5 linked regions of the Sus scrofa genome follow. The main gene of each other region encodes a partner of the protein of the gene in region 5 in a complex. Links are inferred from orthologs where the notes say so. Each region holds a gene or a part of one and is shown on either strand. Other genes may lie near its edges.

Evidence for each region.
Region 1: POLR2H (region 5) and RRN3 share a complex: the UniProt entries of both Homo sapiens proteins name them as parts of the pol I pre-initiation complex. The link is inferred for Sus scrofa from reciprocal best matches to the Homo sapiens genes POLR2H and RRN3.
Region 2: POLR2H (region 5) and ZNRD1 share a complex: the UniProt entries of both Homo sapiens proteins name them as parts of the pol I pre-initiation complex. The link is inferred for Sus scrofa from reciprocal best matches to the Homo sapiens genes POLR2H and POLR1H.
Region 3: POLR2H (region 5) and UBTF share a complex: the UniProt entries of both Homo sapiens proteins name them as parts of the pol I pre-initiation complex. The link is inferred for Sus scrofa from reciprocal best matches to the Homo sapiens genes POLR2H and UBTF.
Region 4: POLR2H (region 5) and GTF2H4 share a complex: the UniProt entries of both Homo sapiens proteins name them as parts of the TBP-based Pol II pre-initiation complex. The link is inferred for Sus scrofa from reciprocal best matches to the Homo sapiens genes POLR2H and GTF2H4.

The regions. Positions count from the first base shown.
Region 1 is NC_010445.4:7,547,983-7,551,494, forward strand, and holds part of RRN3 (RNA polymerase I-specific transcription initiation factor RRN3), read right to left. Parts: intron 2,143-3,512; coding exon 2,012-2,142; intron 1-2,011. UniProt on the Homo sapiens protein: Required for efficient transcription initiation by RNA polymerase I (Pol I). Required for the formation of the competent pre-initiation complex (PIC).
Region 2 is NC_010449.5:22,625,403-22,629,677, forward strand, and holds the start of ZNRD1 (DNA-directed RNA polymerase I subunit RPA12), read left to right. Parts: upstream 1-1,468; 5' UTR 1,469-1,601; intron 1,602-1,714; 5' UTR 1,715-1,734; coding exon 1,735-1,870; intron 1,871-2,094; coding exon 2,095-2,195; intron 2,196-2,532; coding exon 2,533-2,642; intron 2,643-4,275. UniProt on the Homo sapiens protein: Core component of RNA polymerase I (Pol I), a DNA-dependent RNA polymerase which synthesizes ribosomal RNA precursors using the four ribonucleoside triphosphates as substrates. Can mediate Pol I proofreading of the nascent RNA transcript.
Region 3 is NC_010454.4:19,003,576-19,006,653, forward strand, and holds the end of UBTF (nucleolar transcription factor 1), read left to right. Parts: intron 1-73; coding exon 74-217; intron 218-308; coding exon 309-434; 3' UTR 435-2,570; downstream 2,571-3,078. UniProt on the Homo sapiens protein: Recognizes the ribosomal RNA gene promoter and activates transcription mediated by RNA polymerase I (Pol I) through cooperative interactions with the transcription factor SL1/TIF-IB complex.
Region 4 is NC_010449.5:23,398,102-23,402,112, reverse strand, and holds the start of GTF2H4 (general transcription factor IIH subunit 4), read right to left. Parts: upstream 2,809-4,011; coding exon 2,669-2,808; intron 2,407-2,668; coding exon 2,302-2,406; intron 1,964-2,301; coding exon 1,832-1,963; intron 1,557-1,831; coding exon 1,460-1,556; intron 1,369-1,459; coding exon 1,280-1,368; intron 1,070-1,279; coding exon 958-1,069; intron 829-957; coding exon 760-828; intron 277-759; coding exon 193-276; intron 1-192. UniProt on the Homo sapiens protein: Component of the general transcription and DNA repair factor IIH (TFIIH) core complex, which is involved in general and transcription-coupled nucleotide excision repair (NER) of damaged DNA and, when complexed to CAK, in RNA transcription by RNA polymerase II.
Region 5 is NC_010455.5:122,250,136-122,254,429, reverse strand, and holds the start of POLR2H (DNA-directed RNA polymerases I, II, and III subunit RPABC3), read right to left. Parts: upstream 2,802-4,294; 5' UTR 2,676-2,801; coding exon 2,603-2,675; intron 2,499-2,602; exon of another isoform or gene 2,460-2,498; coding exon of another isoform or gene 2,378-2,459; intron 1,382-2,377; coding exon 1,298-1,381; intron 1,226-1,297; coding exon 1,132-1,225; intron 62-1,131; coding exon 1-61. UniProt on the Homo sapiens protein: DNA-dependent RNA polymerase catalyzes the transcription of DNA into RNA using the four ribonucleoside triphosphates as substrates.

The sequences.
Region 1 (3,512 bases), on a different chromosome or scaffold from region 5:
TGGAGGTTCCCAGGCTAGGGGTCTAATCAGAGCTACAGCTGCCAGCCCATGCCACAGCCACACAACACCAGATCCAAGCCACATCTGTGACCTACACCACAGCTCATGGCAACGCCATATCCTTAACCCGCTGAGCAGAGGTCAGGGGTCAAACTGGAGTTCTCATGGATGCTAGTCAGGTTTGTTAACTGCTGAGCCACAATGGGAACTCCCAGGTCTCATCTTCTTTTTTAATTTTTTTATTTGTTTATTTTTTGGTCTTTTTAGGGCTGCACCCTCGGCATAAGGAGGTTCCCAGGCTAGGGGTCTAATCAGAGCTGTAGCCGAAGGCTTACGCCACAGCCACAGCAATGCCAGATCCAAGCCGAGTCTGTGACCTACACCACAGCTCACGGCAACTCGGGATCCCCAACCAACTGATCGAGGCCAGGGATCGAACCCGCAACCTCACGGTTCCTAGTCAGATTCATTTCTGCTGTGCCATGATGGGGACTCCTCATCTTTTTTTAAATTCTTAAGATATTCTGGCTATCAGAATCCTAAGATTTTTAACTCACTTATACGAGAAAGTTCTGGTATCTCAGTTATACTACTAAACAGATAATGAATACTTTTTTTTTTCAGTCTTTTTGCCTTTTCTAGGGCTGCACCCTCGGCATATGGAGGTTCCCAGGCCAGGGGTCCAATCGGAGCTGTAGCCACAGGCCTACACCACAGCTCACAGCAACTCTGGATCCTTAACCCACTGAGCAAGGCCAGGGATCAAACCCGCAACCTCATGGTTCCTAGTTGGATTCGTTAACCACTGAGCCACGATGGGAACTCCATGAATACGGTTATTGTGGTTATTTTTAAAATGTCTTGAGATAATATACATTAACAACAAAAGGTGTTCCCCAGCATTAAATAATTCAATGGATCTAAAAACTAGCTGAACATGAAAACTAACCCTATAGATTCAGGGCTTTGGAACCCTTGGATTTGTGACCGGGCTATTTCTAAAGCTCTACAAGTGATTCTGAGATTTAGCCGGCACTCGAAACCAGCGATAATCTGCACCCATGGGAACCCTTCTGCAGTGCCTCTCAGACTGCACACGTTCAACTTAACCAGAAACAGAAATAGGGATTAAATTACAGTTGGTTTTTGACTCATTATGCAAATCATAGGGGAAAAAACAGACCAATTAAGTTTTTTTTTAAAACAAAGGATGCAACCTCCATCTTTTCCCAAATAGCTCTTTTCAGAAGCTGCTAACACACGCTTTGAGGCAGAGTGAGGTGAACCTTCCTGCCCAGGACCAACACCCTTCCAGACTATTCGAGGAAGCTACGAAAGAGTTGCAAAAAGAGGCCTCTATTTTTTTGGTTTTGCTTTGTTCTCAAAATAGAAAACCAATGCCTAAAGTTTTAAAATTCTAGATTAAAAAAAATTTAGTTTGGGCTACTTAAGAGCAACTGAAAGAAAATAAAACAGTTAAATATCCAATATGAGATTTTAATTAAGGCTTGAATTGAAAGGAAGAGCACCGCCTAGCGGACCAAACACGGGATGACACTTTCCGAGCACTCAGATGAACTGCACTCAGATGAAGCCCTCTGCTTCTTCCTTATATTGAAAAGGGCTTCCTATTTTTTATTTATTTATTTATTTTTTTTTTTTAATGGCCAGAAGTATGGCATATGGAAGTTCTGGGGCTAGGAGTTGAATTGGGGCTTACAATGGCTGCTGGCCTACACCACAGCTCACAGCAATGCAGATCCTTAACCCACTGAGTGCGGCCAGGGATCAAACCCACATCCTCATGGATACTAGCCGGGTTCTACTGAGCCGCAATGGGAACTCCCCAAAAGGGCTGGCTATTATTAGAGGCACTAAGTAAAATGAGCTGAAGACAACGAAATACTCACCTCGGTCTCCCTTTCCATACCATCCCCTCATCCCTCATTTTTAAATGGAAAATTGTGGGTGAGACTAAAATAAGCTACAATTATGTTAACGACATACTCACCAATTTAAAGCTACAGAGGTAAAACATAAAAAACTGCACGTGGCAGGAGGCATGTGTGGGCAACAGGAGTTTGTCAAAGATGGTTATGAGATCTCGATATAAATCCTTTGTCTTGTTGTTATCAATCTTACCTACAAAGAAAATTTGGCATTTCAGTTCTATAAAGATATAATTTTCAAGCTACCAGTTTCACTTATCAATTTTTAAAAAGAAAATAAAACTACTAAGAAACACGTCATGGAGGTCTGTCATGGCTCAGTGGTTAATGAACTAGACTAGTATCCATGAGGACACAGGTTCAGTCCCTGACCTTGCTCAGTGGGTTAAGGATCCGGCCTCACTGAGACCTGTGATATAAGTTGCAAACAAATGGGCTCTGATCTAGCATTGCTGTAGCCGTGGGATAGGCTGACAGCTACAGCTGCGATCTGACCCCTAGACTGGGAACCTCCACATGCTGCAAGTGTGGCCCTTAAAAAAAAAACAAACAAAAAAAAAGACCAAAAAAATAGAAAAAGAAACACATCCTCAACGGATACCTGTATAACTGATTTACACTGCTGTATACCTGAAACTAACACAACTTTCTAAGTCAACTATACTCCAATAAAATTTTATTTAAAAAAAACAACAACACATCATCCATTGACCTATAGGGGAAAAAAAAGCCATCTTCATCTTGCACAGGTTTTCCTTTTCACGTATAACAACCCAGCAGTGGCAAGAAAGAGGCACTCATCTCACACACACACTCCTGTGATGCCATAAACTGTCAAAGCGCAACTTAGAAGAAGCCCTTTGATCCAGCGACTCAACTGCTGGGAATTCACCACACAGAAATAATCGAAGATATATGCATAAGAACGTTCGTTACACTGTTATTTATAATGGCCAAAAAAAAAAGCATGGGGGTGGTTTTAAAACATCATTGGGCATTCCCTTTGTGGATTAGTGGTTAATGAACCTGACTAGGATCCATGAGGATGCAGGTTCCATCCCTGGCCTCGTTCAGTGGGTTAGGGATCCGGTGTTGCCATAAGCCGTGGTGTAGGTTGCAGAGGCGGCTCAGATCCCACATTGCTGTGGCTGTGGTGTAGGCCAGCAGCTGTAGCTCCAGTTCAACCCCTGGCCTGGGAACCTCCATATGCCACTGGTGCAGCCCTAAAAAGCAAAAATAAATAAATACATAAATAGCAGGGGGAGGAAAAAAAAGGAGAGACCAGTTAAATCTATATGATTAGCAATAACTATTTTAGAATAACAATGAATGGGATGAGAAAAATGTTCACAATAGGTGAAAAGGGCAGATAATAAACCACTTACAGTGTGATTCTGCCGGATCACTGAGAAAAACACTCATATAGCCATGCAAACAGGAAAGTAAAACATAAAAATGCTAATAATAGGGAGTTCCCGTTGTGGCGCAGTGGTTAACGAATCCGACTAGGAACCATGAGGTTGCGGGTTCGGTCCCTGCCCTTGCTCAGTGGGTTAATGATCC
Region 2 (4,275 bases), on a different chromosome or scaffold from region 5:
TATTAAGTCTGCCCAGTCTACTCTATGTATCAGTGAGGTTTTGGGTTTTTGTTTTTTGGCACCCCGCAGCATATGGAGTTCCTGGGCCGAGAACAGATCTGAGCCACAGTTGCAACCTAAGCCCCAGCTGAGGCAAAGCTGGGTCCTTAATCCATGGTGCCAGGCCAGGGATTGAACATTTGTCCCAGTGTTCCCAAGACGCTGCCCATCCCATTTTGCCATAGAGTGGAACTCCTGTATCAGTGATTTTTGCCTTCCGATGAATACAAAGTAAAAAATAGAAGTAAAAAATATAACTTCTACAATTTATTTGAAAATCAGTCATGGGAGTTCCTGTTGTGGTGCAGCAGAAACAAATCCAACTAAGAACCATGAGGTTGCGGGTTTGATCCCTGGCCTCGATTAGTGGGTTAAGGATCTGGCCTTGCCCTGAGCTGTGGTGTAGGTCACAGACATGGCTCAGATCCTATGTTGCTGTGGCTGTGCCATAGGTGGGCAGCTGTAGCTCTGATTCAACCCCTAGCCTGGGAACCTTCATATCCTGTAAGTGCAGCCCTAAAAAGCAAAAAAAAGCAAAAACAAAAAACAAAACAAAACAAACAAACAAACAAACAAACAAAAGGAAAAACAAAAGAACAAAACGAAACATAGCTCAAGCAACAGCAAAGCCAGATCGTTAACCCACTGAGCGAGGCCAGAGATCGAACCCACAACCTCATCGTTTCTAGTCGGATTTGTTTCTGCTGTGCCACAACATGAACTCAAAATACAAAAAACATTTTGATGCTGAAATTTAAACATATAAAGAGTGGGAACTATGATTTTTAATCTACAAATACCATGATCTCTCTCTTTTTTCTTTTTAAGGCTGCACCTGTGGTATATGGAAGTTCCCAAGCTAGGGTCTGAATCAAAGCTGCAACTGTGATCTACACTATAGACAAGGCAACAGCCACCAAAGCACATGAGCCATACCGGGTCCTGCAGAGAGCCCTTGCTTGGGTCGCAAGGCCCAAAGAATGCTAGAATTACTCCCAGAATATTTCGCTTTGTTTTCTACCACTGTCCAACCGCCACAGTGAAGTGCAGATTCAGGAACCGCTGGAGTTTGCAGTTCTCCAGTCCAAATAAATAAATTAGTACTCTATAAGGTTGGTCCGACTTCTCAGGAGAAACGCTCCCCGCGACTGGGTCCTGGTAAAATTCGAGACCAATAAAATAAACATCCCAGGACTGAGTCCTGAAGGGAAAAAATAACCTGAGGCAGGCGCAGCTTCGTCACCTATTTTCGTATCCAACGTAACAGAACCAGGCTGAAGGGGGCGCCACAATCTTCCTTCAGAACCGCTCCTCTCCCTCTCCAGGCTCTCGGGATCACAGTTGCAATTAATTATGACGTCACAGCCAATCGAGAGCCGGGACGCGTGGACTCTCTAGCCCGCCACGCGCTCGCTGCTCGGTTGCCCGCGCGGAGCCGGCGCTCTAGCCCGTGAAGTTGACTTGCTCCTCTCGCCTGCCCCAGGAAAGACCCCCAGCGTAGTTGTACCCGACGCGGGATAGGGATTCCGGAAGTTTGGGCTCCTTAGTCACAGAGGCACAAGGTATGCGTAGGAAGAAATCTCGGGTTCTGCATGCTTACGTCCAGGGACAGAATAGGCATGACCTCTCTGGGGAAGGGGCTACTCTCTTAATAAACTCCTCATCCCCTTCCCAGCCCTCGACCACCCGTCTGTCATGGACCTCGCCCGCACATCCTCTAGCTTTCAGTCGGACTTGGATTTCTGTCCGGATTGCGGCTCGGTCCTGCCTCTGCCCGGGACTCAGGATGCGGTCATTTGTACTCGCTGTGGCTTCTCCATCAACGTGCGGGGTGAGGTGCTGCTACGCCGCGGCTGGGGCGGAGGAGGGCCCATGGGGATCTCAAGATCGATTGGATTAAAGACGGGGACCCGAAAGCGCAGGATCAGGCACTTATACTTTTGGTCGGCACGAAACCTGATGGGTAGAATATAGCTTCCTGGCCTAACAGAGAGGGATTAGTGTGGTGTCAGCCCCCTCCGCTGTCTCCACAACCAATTCTTACTGCCCGCGCAGACTTTGAGGGGAAGGTTGTGAAGACCTCAGTTGTGTTCCAGAAAGTGGGGACAGCCATGCCTATGTCGATGGAGGAAGGACCTGAGTTCCAGGGACCCGTGGTAAGTGAATCACGTCGAGGACTGGCCCTGTAAAGAGGGTGGGAACGAAACGGAGGGCTCAGATCTGGAGAGTTTTGTACACAACAGGGAAGAAGAGTCTTTAAAACAGTAGTGACTGGGGAGAGTTTTCTTGTGGTGCAGCCGGGTGTTAAGGATCTGGCCGGCATTGTCACTACAGCGGTTTAGGTCGCTTCTGTGGCACGGGTTCGATCCTCGGCCTGGAAACTTACACGTACTGCAGGTGCAGCAAAACAAAAACCAGCAGTATCTGAGGAGTGTGGTAGCTTGATGTCTGTGAGAAGTAGTGGGAATTATTAACCTACCAGTTGCTTCCCAGGTTGACAGGCGCTGTCCTCGTTGTGGTCATGAGGGAATGGCATACCACACCAGACAGATGCGCTCAGCCGATGAAGGGCAGACTGTCTTCTACACCTGTACCAACTGCAAGTGCGTATCCTTTCCCTCCATTCTGCCCCTTCTGGGTCTCTTTGCTGCCAAAATCCCGTGATTTAATTTAAATCCAGTGGTTTAATTTTTGTACTTTTTGGACTGGTCGCATCCTTCATTTCTGTACAGTTCAAGTAATAGGTTTGTGATCGTTTTCTTCCTTCCTTCCATCCTTTCTTTCTTTCTTCCTTCCTTTCTTTCTTTCTTTCTCTCTCTCTCTCTCTTTCTTTCTTTCTTCCTTCCTTCCTTCTTTCCTTCCTTCCTTCCCTCCCTCCTTCCTTCCTTCCTTCCTTCTTAGGGCTGCACCCCGTGGCATATGGAGATTCCCAGGCTAGGGGTCACATCCGAGCTGTAGCCTCTGGCCTCACCACAGCAACAGCAACGCCAGATCACAGCAACACCGGATCCCAGCTGCGTCCACAACTTACACCGCAGCTCACAACAATGCCAGAGCCTTAACCCACTGAGTGAGGCCAGGGATTGAACCACATGGTTCCTAGTCGGATTTGCTTGTGCTGCTGTGCCACGATGGGAAGTTCTGTGGTCTTTTTAAATTTTAAATAATTACTCTTTTCCTATCTTTTTATACCCAGTGAATTAAACCTTTTACAATAGTTAAAAGGAAATGAGTATTGGTTTGTGATCAGTGTGTTATGTTGGACTCCTCCACTGCCCTCAAGGTAGTTTTACTTTGGTGAGAGTCAGTCATGGATGATTTAAAAAACATGGGTTCTTTATTTTTATTTCTTTATTTTTTTTTGTCTTTTTGCCTTTTCTAGGGCCGCTTCCCGAGGCATATGGAGGTTCTCAGGCTAGGGTCTAATCAGAGCTGCAGCCGCTGGCCGACGCCACAGCCACAGCAATGTGGGATCCGAGCCAAGACTGCAACCTACACCACAGCTCACAGCAATGCCAGATCCTTAACCCACCGAGCAGCCAGGGATCGAACCCACAACCTCATGGTTTCTAGTCGGATTCGTTAACCACTGCACCACGACGAGAACTCCCAGAACATGGGTTCTTTAAAACATAGTTTTAAGAATTCCTCTTTGTCTTTGGTGTCCTTCAATTTCACTACAATCTATCAAGATGTGGCTTTCTTTTATTTATCCTGTTTGGGATGTGTTGGGCCTTCCAACAGTGAGGGTTGACCTTTTTTCCCCCATCAACCTTGGAAAATTATCAGCTGTTATCACACTGAATATTTCCCTCATATGCTCAGTTCTCATATTCTTAGAGTTCTAACTGATTAGCTCTTTATTAGGCCTTATCTTCTATCCTCCATTTCTCTCACCCTGTCTCCCATATTTTCCATCTCTTTTCTCTTTATGCTGTTTCTGGATAGATTTTTTAGTTCTGTTTGATTTTTTTGTGGCCATGCCGGCAACATGTGGATATTCCTGGGCCAGGGATCAAACCCTAGCCCCTGCAGTGACAGTGCTGGACTTTAACCCACTGCACCACAAGGGAAATCCTGATTATTTTTCAAATCATCTTAGTTATTTTTAATAATTCCCAATTCCTTAATCATATTTTAAGTGGTTCTTTTTATTCATAAAACATATTACATGTAAACATTAAACATGATATTTATGTTCTATGTCTGTTAATTCTCAAACCCACTGTTTTTGTG
Region 3 (3,078 bases), on a different chromosome or scaffold from region 5:
CCTCCCAGGAGGAGGGCCCCGTGCAGGGTCCAGGGCGCGGCAGGGACCCCTGATGGGCTTCCATCCCTCGCAGGAGTCTGAGGAGGACGATGAAGAGGATGAGGAGGACGAGGACGAGGACGAGGAGGAGGAAGATGACGAGAACGGGGACTCCTCCGAGGATGGCGGCGACTCCTCCGAGTCCAGCAGCGAGGACGAGAGCGAGGACGGGGATGAGGTGGGGCGGGCGGGCAGGCGGGCGGGCGGGAGGGCGGGACGGGGTCCCGCCAGCACGGCCCCCTGGTGACTGCACTTCCCTTGCCTCCCAGAACGAGGATGAGGATGAGGACGAGGACGACGACGAGGATGACGACGAGGACGAGGACAACGAATCCGAGGGCAGCAGCTCCAGCTCGTCCTCCTCGGGGGACTCCTCGGACTCTGACTCCAACTGAGGCTCAGCCCCACGCGGGGCGCCCCTCCTCGACTGACCACCTTTGTTTCTCTCCCATGTTCTGTCCCCTGCCCCCTGGCCTCCCCCACTTTCTTTCTTTCTTTTTCTTTTTTCTTTTTTTTTAAAAAAAAAAACAAAATACAGTGGGGAGAGGCACTGGAGGCGCCCAGGCTAGAACTCTGCGGCCTTAGAGCCATCAGCCCTGGAGGGCCCTCCAGGGAGCGCAACCACCAGACTGAGCCACCACTGGACCGGCCCAGCCCACCCCTCTTTTGCACTCGCAGTTCCGGCATGGACAATGGACCTGGGAGTGGGATCGGGGGTGGGTCCCAAAGAGTTCTCTGAGGCCCTCTACACCTGCAGCCCAACCCCTGGGAGGGTGGAAGCTTGGGGAAGGCCCCTTTGTTTCCAGAGGGGCTGCAGCCTGGACCCCTACATTGGAACTGGAGGCAGGGGACATGGGAGAGGAGGGCGGGTGCCTATGGGGAAATAGGCACGGCCCCCCAGCCCTCTCCCCTGCCCCCTGCAGGAAGGAGCTGCCTGGACCCACTCACGAGGGGAGGGGGCAGAAGTGTTTTTTATATATGTGTATATATTTTTTTTTTTAAGCTCTGAGCTGTCAACGAGACGTTTCCTACCGATCTCGGCTGCCGTCTCTGTTGTCATTTCTGGGAGAGGGAGGGGGTAGGGGTTAGGTTTGGGACTTTTTTAAAACGGTCTTGATGCGTGTGGAAAAATGCGTGTGTGTGCGTGTGTGTGTGCGTGGCCTGTACATAGCATGGGTGCACCTGTGGATGTGTGCAAAGGCACATGTGTATTTGTGTGTGTAAGAGAGGAGGAGGAGCCCACCTCAAGTCTGTGAATCTGGTGAAAGTGTTGGTGCGGGCCGGGGTGACATTGATCCTGATGGGGACAGGCTGGGTGGCCCCTTTCTCCATATCTTCTGCTTTGCCGAATCTCGGATTCAGTTTTGCGGGGTGACCGAAGCTCCTCTGATGCTTCTCATACTGGTTTCCCTCTGAGCTACTGCTGGTCTCCAATATCCAGCAGGATGGCGGAGAGGGGAACAGACCAGGTAGAACCTTAAAGCTTTGATTTGGTGGGAAAGGCCTCTGCAGCTCATCTGAGAGGCCTCCCGGCCACCCTGGGCTCCGAGAAATGTGTTGGAAGCTTGTAACTTACACGTCGCTCCTGCCTTTCCGCCACATCCTCCAGCTCCCCCACCCCCATTTCCTTTGATTTCTCAGGTCTGCCCACCTCCCCAAACCCACGGCTGGGGAAGAGGTCTGCACAAGCTGTTTTTGCAGCTGTCCTAACCCTTCCCAGCCATCCCCCCAATTTTGGTACCCCGATTCCTAAACTCTTAATAAGCCAAGCCACCTTGTCTCTGGGTTTAAATTTGGGGGGGTTGTTTTTATTAAATTTTGACTTTTTTTTTTTTAAACAATCACATCGTTGACCTATCTAATCGGGGCTTTGTGCTTTTCCACCTTCCCCTCTGAATGAAAGCCAAGGGATGGGGAAGAGTGGGAGCTCCGCCCAGGAGGCGGGCTGGGAAAGGTGGGTCCTGCTCCCAAAGGCAGGCGGTCCGCTTTGCCTTGGACTTGGTGCTGGGAGTGGGGGGAGCTAGGGAGGGACACTTCCCACTCCCACTCCCCTTCCTTTGTCCTGATCCTGGAATTAGGTACAAGGGTTCATAGGTTCTATTTCTTCCGGAGAGCCCCTGCAGAGAACCCTGTTTCCCTGTTTGAATGCTCCTGCGCTGTTGTGTTTTAGTGAAACATGTCTTCACTTAAAACCAACTTCGAGCGGGGCACTGTTTCTTTCCCCCCGTTTTGAAAGTTGAAAAATTCTTACAGTACAAACAGGGCTGTGGGGGGTTAGGGTGTTGGTGCTGTGAGAGGTCACTCTGAGTGCATTTTGGCACTGGGATGGGATGGCTGGGGTGGGAGGACCCCGCTCCCCCCCCTTTTTTCTAATATTTAAGGAGTGTTTTTGTAGGTTTCAACAACAACCACAACTTGAATTTGTAACATGGGAGGTGGGAGGGAATGGCTTAGAGGTGTCCGCCTAAGCTTAAGGCCAACTGTGGAAGTTTTGTTTTCCCTTTTTTTGTACAATAAAGTAAAAAAACAAAGGTTTGAGTGCTGTCTGATCACTGGACTCCATGAAGGGGGAGTGGTGGCAGAGGTGACCGAACAGGCTCAATGTGGAAAGCCCCTTGAAGCCAGCTTCTTGGCCTCTTCTTTCTAGAACCATCTTCCTCTCTCCTGAAGATGCCATAGGCAACCTACCTTCGCACTGTTTTGTGCTACTGGGGGTTTTTTTGTTTGTTTTGTTTTGCTTTGTCTTTTTGCCTTTTCTTGAGCCCCTCTTGCAGCATATGGAGGTTCCCAGGCTAGGGGTTGAATCGGAGCTGTAGCCACCAGCCTACACCAGAGCCACAGCAACTCGGAATCCTAGCTGCATCTGTGACTCACACCACAGCTCACGGCACCGCCGGATCCTTAACCCACTGAGCAAGGGCAGGGACCGAACCCGCAACCTCATGGTTCCAAGTCAGATTCATTAACCACTGCGCCACGACGGGAACTCCTTGTGCTACTGTTTTTGCACTTTCTCGATTCAGTTGGTTCACGTTGGGT
Region 4 (4,011 bases), on a different chromosome or scaffold from region 5:
ATACATCAGATCCCTCCCAATGCACAGAACTTCAGCTCCCAACATCTCTCCCCCTCCCCCGAGGGACCCCAGTATTCTGTCCTGGCAACTGTCCCCTGCTTCTGCCTTCGGAGACCCCTGTTCCTTTTGAAAGGCCAAGGCAACATACCACCCTGCCTCTTCCCTAAAAGCCATGTATCTGGGCGCTCATACCTTCCTCTGGAAAACAAGGCCCAACTCACGGAGATGTTGCAGGAAGTTCAACAGAGAATCACTCATACCTTCCACAGAGTAATCCTGGGGAAGAGAGGTAGCCGGCTGGGGTCCAAAACCCAGCCCATTCTCCCTTCCCCAACCCCATATGCTCCTTCCCACTTTTCCCATCCCTGGTGTTCTTCGTTTTTTTGTTTTTTGCTTTTGTCTTTTTGTCTTTCTAGGGTCGCACGGGTGGCATATGTAGGTTCCCAGGCTAGGGGTCCAATCAGAGCTGCAGCTGCTGGCCTACACCATAGCCACAGCAACGCGGCATCCGAGCCGCGTCTGCAACCTACACCACAGCTCACAGCAACACGGGATCCTTAACCCACTGAGCGAGGTCAGGGATTGAACCTGCGTCCTCATGGATGCTAATTGGGTTGTTAACCGCTGAGCCACGACGGGAACTCCTCTTTGTTCATTCTTCTCTTTCACTCTATTGACCCCTAACCTCATTTCCTTTTCCATCTCTCTACCCTTCATCTTGCCCACCCAAGCCTCTACTAGCTCCAGCCCCCTGCTTACCTTGCCCAGAGTAGAGAAGCTGAGCTGGAAGAGGAAGGAGAGAATCTCCACTAGGTCCATGCCCCGACTCTAAGGAGGAACGGGCAGATGTGGGGAGGAAATGAGAGAAAACCGGGGAACAGAGTCTACAGGCAGCAGGCCCTCAGTGGGTCCTGGGAAAAGCAGAGCATGCCAGCAGGCAGCCCCCGACCTCCTCACCTGGGCTGTCTGCAGGTACTGCAACATAAAGTACCAGAGCTGGGCCGGGGTGTCCAACAACAGGAATTGGAAGCCCGCAGAGGTAATGCAAGGCGGCTCTCCAGGTTCAGCACTACAGAAAGGGACCATGGCAGAGGTTTGCTGAGAAAGGCCACCATTCCACTTGTCCGCTCACATTTTTCTTGGTTTATCTCTGGCCATGCTCTACGCAGCTCTCCTTTTGCAGCCAACCCCCTCCAATCCTGATCCGACCCAAACACTCAGGTTAGCAGGGACTCGAGGAGACGGCAAAACAGAGCTGTTGTACCTCTGTCTTCCTCACCTCTTCATGAGCCCAGCCTGGCTGAGGAGCTGAGCCAAGTCCTGGCTGACGGCTGCACTGGGGGAGCCCACCATGAAGTGCAGGACCACCTGAGGAACAGAAGAGACCAGAGAGACAGATGCCTCTAAGGGCCCTGGGATGGGAGCACAAGCAGACACACACAGAGTCCCAAGTCCTTACCTCCCATCGCTCCTCAGCATACTTGTCAAGCGAGGGCACATCCCGGGCATGCTTGTCTGGTCCCAGCTGACTTGTGTCATCAGACCAGGCCTTGCCCCTATGCCAGTACGGCCGAGAGTAAGGAACCCTGCCTGTGTTCCCTGCCCACCACCCCCCTTCCCTCTTTCTACCCTCATCTCCAGGGGCCACGAGTGGGAGACATATCCTATACCACGTAGCAAAGTCTGGTCCAACTTATTCCTAAAGGAGCTCCCAAAGGTGGAGCCCACAAGGTTCCAGAGAGGTCCCCCAGGGCCTCTTAATAAGTAGTTTAATGAGCAGTTTAATCACTAGTTCCCCTGCCTGGCCTAGGAAAAGATGGAAGTGACATACCCACCCAGAAGGGCAATGCGGAGGTTTTGGCGGAAGATGGGGTTGAGGATGAGGCCCTGGAGGCCACCAGGGAGCAGCTGGGTGTGCCAGATACGGAGGCCGCTCAGCAGCCCCGTGCTTTCCTCCTGGGCTCTGGAACAGAAGAGGAGAGGTGAGGGGAGTGTCCAGAGAACAAAAGGAAGGAAGCCCATAAAGACCACCATTTCTGCCTTTTCTGAACTGGTGGTCCTTGGAACACTGTTTCACAGAGTGAAATTGGTATCTTCTTAAGGCAAATTTCTTTACTGCAGCACCTACCAGAACCTTGTTATAGACATCACAACTCTCCAAGAGGCAAAATGGAGTATGCGTAGTTTCCCAAACTTGTTTAATTACAAGTTTAGTGGTGTTCCCTTGAATATACTCCAGCAGTTTGGGAAACCTGGCTGTTGAGAAATTTGTATCTGGCTGAAAGTGCAGCAGAGACTCACTTGCTGAATTCCTTCTTCACCCACAAGGCTACGGCAGCTTGTGGCAGAGGCTGCTCCAGAAAGAGCATCCGCATCACCCAGTTCTTAGCTAAAGATGGGAGCTCCCTATAAGGGGGCAGAGGGAAAACGTTAATATCAGAAACTGCCTCAGATCTGCATCCCTGCCCTCAAATGCCTCTCAAACATCTCATCTCACCCCTGGCCCTTTTACCAGTCTTCCTGCCCCCACATCTCCATCTGTTTGGGCCTGACACATTTTAGTCTCCAAGCCCCCCAGAGCTAAGCTTCTACCCATGATAACTTATTGCAGTCTGCAGGCCTCATTACATTTCCCTACTATGGTCCCTGCCATGAACGGGGTCCTCACCTGAAGACAGCCAAACAGGTGGCAGGGTGCCCATACAATCGGTCCAATACAACAGGGCTCAGGCCCCCTAAGAATTCCTGCAGATTCCTGCATTGTAGGTGTACTCGATTCAGTCCACCCCTTGAAGGGGTGCTCTCCATCACCTGAGAGATGCAAGTGTTAGTGGACCTCCGAAATCCATGCCAGTGTCACCCCCTCACCGTTCTCATTCCAATTCCAGATCCACTGGCCCCTGCAAAAATTCATCTTTTCTACAGTTTCCTTTTTCACGTCACTCATCTCCTCTTGTTTCTCCCAAACCTGACCACCCTCCTCTTCTTTCCTCCCTCCTCACTGCACTCCTGATCTCAACTCAAGTCTTCTCCAATTTCTAAGTGAAAGAATTGTCAGCTGTTCCATATTTGCAAAAATATTTTGTATTTCAGTGACTTATCTACACCCTAGGCAAAGAAAGTTTTCTGAGCCCAGTTCTCTCTCCCCTCGACCTCTCCTGGTCTGATCAGCCTATAAACTTCAATCTGCCCATTCTCTCCATCTATTTCTTGACCCCACTCCTCGTGCTGGGAACGGCAATAATTACCTTTCCCCTCCAAGTCTCATAAATCTAATTCCACCTCTTTCCTCTTCCCGTCCCTAAGACTACTTCACTCCATTCACCCTGACTCACACCGTATGATCTCCTCCTAACTCGTCCCCTACTTTCTTCCCAATGCTCGTCTCTCATCAACTCTCTCCTTCTTATACCTCCCGCCACCCCTTCTCTCCCAGCCCCCTTACCACTCAGTGTCGACCCCCTCCTCGTGCACTCCGAGTCTTAAGCCGTCGCTTAATCGGAGCCAGTGTCTCGCATTAGCTCTCAGGAATAGGGGAAAGAATGGCGGAAAGTGAGCGAAAAATATGGGGAGGGGGACGAAGGATTTCACCCACGCAAGTCCAGAGTGGAGGATTCAGAAGAGGAGTGGAGAGGTAGGGAGGAGAAGAACCGGCGCTGCACTCGCTCGCCACAGGGCATGCTGGGAATTGGAGTCTTGTCCTTCCCAGCCCGGGAGCCAGCTGAAGCGCGTCCGACTACAACTCCCAAAAGGCACTGCGGGGAGCCAAGCGGAGAGAGGCTGGCTTTTACGTAAGAGAGCCGGAGGCTCCGGAGGTCTGGCTGTTCGTTCCGCATCGCTCTCCACCCACTCGGCTAACGGCGAGTCTAACCAACCCGAGATCATGTGGGGACCCTGAGAATAGAAGTTCCCCGAGGTCTTCCTATCCGAGGTGCGGAAACCACTGGGTGGTGAGGAGCTCAGGTTCAGAGATGCAGAAACCTGGGTTCCTTGAGCTCAGTTGCTCCTCGT
Region 5 (4,294 bases):
AGTTTCATCTCCCTCAATCCTGTACACTTTCCCATACATTACATACTCAAATTGGTCAGCCCTGTGGAACAATAGTGGCAGTTATTGTTATACACAGTCAACAATAATAAGAGACCCTTTAAAAATGGTAACTGATAACTAAGTGCCAACATCATAACAACAGGCACTTTCCAAACATCACATCATTTAGTCCCGACAGCAACCCTGTGAGCGAGGTATAACTGTAGGTATTTCACTGATGAAGAAACTAAGGTTGAAGGAAGTCAAATGTTATTCAACAAATAAGTGATAGAGATGAGATGTGAACTGAGTGGGGCTCTAAAGCCTTTCCTCACACAAAATTCCCTCCTGAGACACAAGACTTACACAGCCTACGTCATTCAGTGGTCATTTCCTCAGCCATCAAAAAGCTACAACTCGAGGTTTCCTGGTGGCCTAATGATTAAGGATCTGGAAATGTCACTGCTGTGGCAGAGGTTCGATCCCTGGCCCCAGGACCTTCTGCATGCTGTGGGCATGCCCCCCTTCCCCCAAAAAGCTGCAACTCATGCTGTAATCACTGCTCTGGATAAACACCTGGATGTCTGAACTCTCCCTTTTATTTATTTTTTTGGGGGGGCCACACCCACAGCACAAGGAAGTTCCCAGGCCAGGGATCAAACCCAGGCCACAGCAGCAACCCGAGCCACAGCAGATCCTTAACCTGCTGAGCTCCCAGAGAACTCATTGTTTGTATCCTTCGTTGTTGTCTTTTTTTTTTTTTAAGGGCCGCACTCAAGGCATATAGAAGTTCCAAGGCTAGGGGTAGAATCGGAGTTGCAGCTACACGTCTACACCACAGCCACAGCAACACCAGATCTAAGCTATGTCTGCAACCTACACCACAGCTCACAGCAACGCCGGATCCTTAACCCACTGAGCAGGGCCAGGGATGGAAGCTGCATCCTCATGGATGCTAGTTAGGTTCATTACCACTGAGGCACAACAGGAACTCCTGTTTGAATTAAGTGCGGCAATTTCCTTAAGTTTACATAGATTCTGTTCATAAACATTTATTCTATGAAGTAACTAAGGGTCTTTCTGTACTACTTATCTATTTAGTCCTCAGGCATATTTCAAGTACTTCCTCACCTGGAAGGCCTATCATCTGTGGGGTTGTATTCACCATCATCCAGAGTACCATCTTCATACAAAGTACTGGCTATCACCAACCGGAACTTGTCACCTGAAAATAACAGCAATATCAGAGTCTGAAATGCAAAAACACTTGCTGTTATTGTTTGTGTTCAACACTTACCCAGGTCAACAGGATAAATCTGAATGTTTACATCTAAGATGAGGTCCATCTTGAAAGATTCACTCTCACAATGCAGTCGAGACACTGGAGGGAAACAGAAAAAGAGCAGCAGAGGTAACTGCCTGGCCAAGTAGACCCTCAAGGGCAGGGCAGACCCCACTTTGAGAAACTGTATGCACAGAATACTTAATCTGTATCCAATGGCCTCTCATCTGCTCTCATAGAAGTACAGGCTCAATAAGAACCACATATACAAGCAAAGAGGCAGAAAACTATGGCTGGTGGACAGAATGCCCAGAAAAGAATCAAAGGTCCTCTGGCAACAAATAATATCACGTTCTAGGCCTGCATGGGTGACTAAGAAACAACCTGCTCTGGGGCAAGTCAGTCATCCAAAGGTTTTGCCTTTCCGTGCCAGGCGCTGTGCTAAGGAGATTATTAAGAACTGCTGTTTGGGGAGGTCTTGTCCGTGGCTCAGTGGTAACAAACCTGATTAGTATCCATGAGGATGGGGGTTCAATCCCTGGCCTCACTCTGTGGGTTAAGGATCAGCTCAGGGGATTAAGGATCTGGTGTTGCTGTGAGCTGTGGTATAAGTCTCAGACGGGGCTTGGATCTGGCGTTGCTGTGGCTGTGGTGTGGGGCCTGCAGCTGTAGCTCTGACTCGACCCTTAGCCTGAGAACCTCCATATGTCCTTACGTCTGGCCCTAAAAAGACAAAATCAAACAAACAAACAAACACCTGCTGTTTGTTCTGAAGAATATCTCAGTCTCTAAGCAAAGGAAGAGACACCAAGGACAAATAATTCTTGATCAACGTCAGAACAAGGAGGTGTATACCAAGCAGTCAACTCTTAGAGAGGATTTCACAAAGAGCTAAGACTCTGAGGGCAACAGGCCCTGAGGTCGGATTATTTGCTGTACAGCCTTGGGTGGGTTGCTCAGCCTCTCAGAAGATGGGTAAGACACCACCTACCTCGTGGAGACTCTCGAAAGGAATAAGTAAGGCAATGTGTGTAAAGTGCACAGCACAGCGCCTAGCAGAGTGGGCAGCGATTAAAAAGATGCCAAGGAGGTTACCAGCACCATGAAGAAAGGTCACCCAGGCACCGGGCACAGCATGTGTGAAGCGAGGGAGAGCTCGAAGTCTCCGTTTTCTCATCTATAAAACGTTTCCTGAGAGAGGCCCCTAGGTCAGGACCTGCCGGTAGGGGAAGACCACATGAAATGTGTGGACAAGAGGCCCAGGGGCGTGTCCCTGAGATCAGCCGCTTCTCCCAAACCGCCCCTACAAACCTTACTCACCTCGGTCAAACTTCTTGCCCTCTGGGTCAATGTCTTTCACATCAAAAATATCCTCGAACAGAATGCCCGCCATGGTGAGGGGGCCACGAGAGAAGCAGAGGTGCTGAGCGCGTGACGAAGACTACGGAGCAGGGCACGGCCCCGCGTGGAGAAAAATGAGAGAGGAAAATGCAGCGCCTGAAGAGCGGCAGCAAAGAAATAGAAGGACGCATGCGCACAGACCAGCAGTAACGCAGCTACTTCCGCCGCCTAGCTCTCGGGGCTTCTTAACTTCCGCCCCGAACGATTGCTTCCGAGAGGCTTCAGTGTTTAGGGCGGTCTCACGTCCAGATAACTCCTCCCAGGGCGGGAACACGATAGGTCCCACCTCCAGCCGGGGGTGGCTTGGTGTCCCGCTCTCTCCGGAGGCTCTAGTGCGCCCTCTTCAGATGCCGGGTTAGGAAGACTGGAGTGCTTGGGGGCCTACCCCAGCCAGGGACCTTGATCCTTGGCCCAGAGAATCCTGGCCCTAGCCCTACCCTGTCGGTCCGCGGGTCTGCCGAGGGCACAGTCCGCGCAAAGGGCTAGCGGAGCAGAACCACGCCCCCAGGGCGATGGCCAAGTAGGGTGCCGTACCCAGTCCTTCTAGCTGGCACTGAGGAATCCCGGGCTGGCCCAGGCCGGCTGGGCCCAGCTGGATGTCACCCGACCCGGTGATATCCACTTTGGGAATTTGCCATGATGTCACCATGGGGAAGAGGGAAGTCTGCACTGTCTCCTCCTCTGGTACTGCACCCTCCCCACCCCTGATTTCTTACCTCGCACCGCCCCTTCAGCATGGTATTAACCCCATCACACTGCTCTCCTCAGTACTGCCCCTTCGGCTCGGTTCTGGCCTTTCCTCCACCACTGCGCTCACCTTCTGGACACGTTCTCCTAAGTGCTCCTTCATCCCGGCATTGTCCTCTCCTATGGATACCACCTCTTCCTTTACACTGCCCGTTCCTCTAGGGTGCTGGTTCTCACACTGTCCCCTTCCTGGGCACTCCCTCCTGGGAACCCCCTCTGCCTCCCACCTGCCCCTTCACCCTGGTACTGCCTCCTCCTGCACAATGCCTGTTTTCCTGGGCACTGGCCTGTCCCCTGACTCTATCTCTGACTGTGTTCACCCCACACTTGTTCACCCCACCCTTTGCACTTTTCTTCTCCGGAGCCTGATAGAGAACGCAGAGCCCCAGCAGGCTGTTCCCCCTTGGCAGCTAGACGTCAGCAGCTACTCGGGTTTCTTCTTCAGCCCTGCCAAGGAGAAGCGACCTCTGTCCCCCCACGCCCGCCTCCCAGGAGCGGCCTCCCCAGCACCTAGACCTCCCTTCCCTCCGGCTCCACCCACGCACAAGCCTCAGGCCAGCTAGCTCCAGGTGCACCTCCCCGGGACAGTCGCAAAGAAAGGAAGGGGGATGAGAGAAACCGAAGTTTCCAGTTCCAAGCACCCCTCTTCTGGGCCTAGCGTCCCCCTCCGAGTCTCCCCAGTTCTGTTTCTCACCCCCCACGGAGCAGAGGGGCCTTGCCAGGCCGGTCTGAGCCGTTGGCTCCTTCAGCAAAGCAAGTGAGGGCACCGCTCTCTCGAGAGAGATTGGGCCCGAAAGTCGGCTTTAGACGGTTCAGCAGCCTGCAGCCCCAGGTCCTACTGAGCGCCGACCTCGGTAGCCGCCC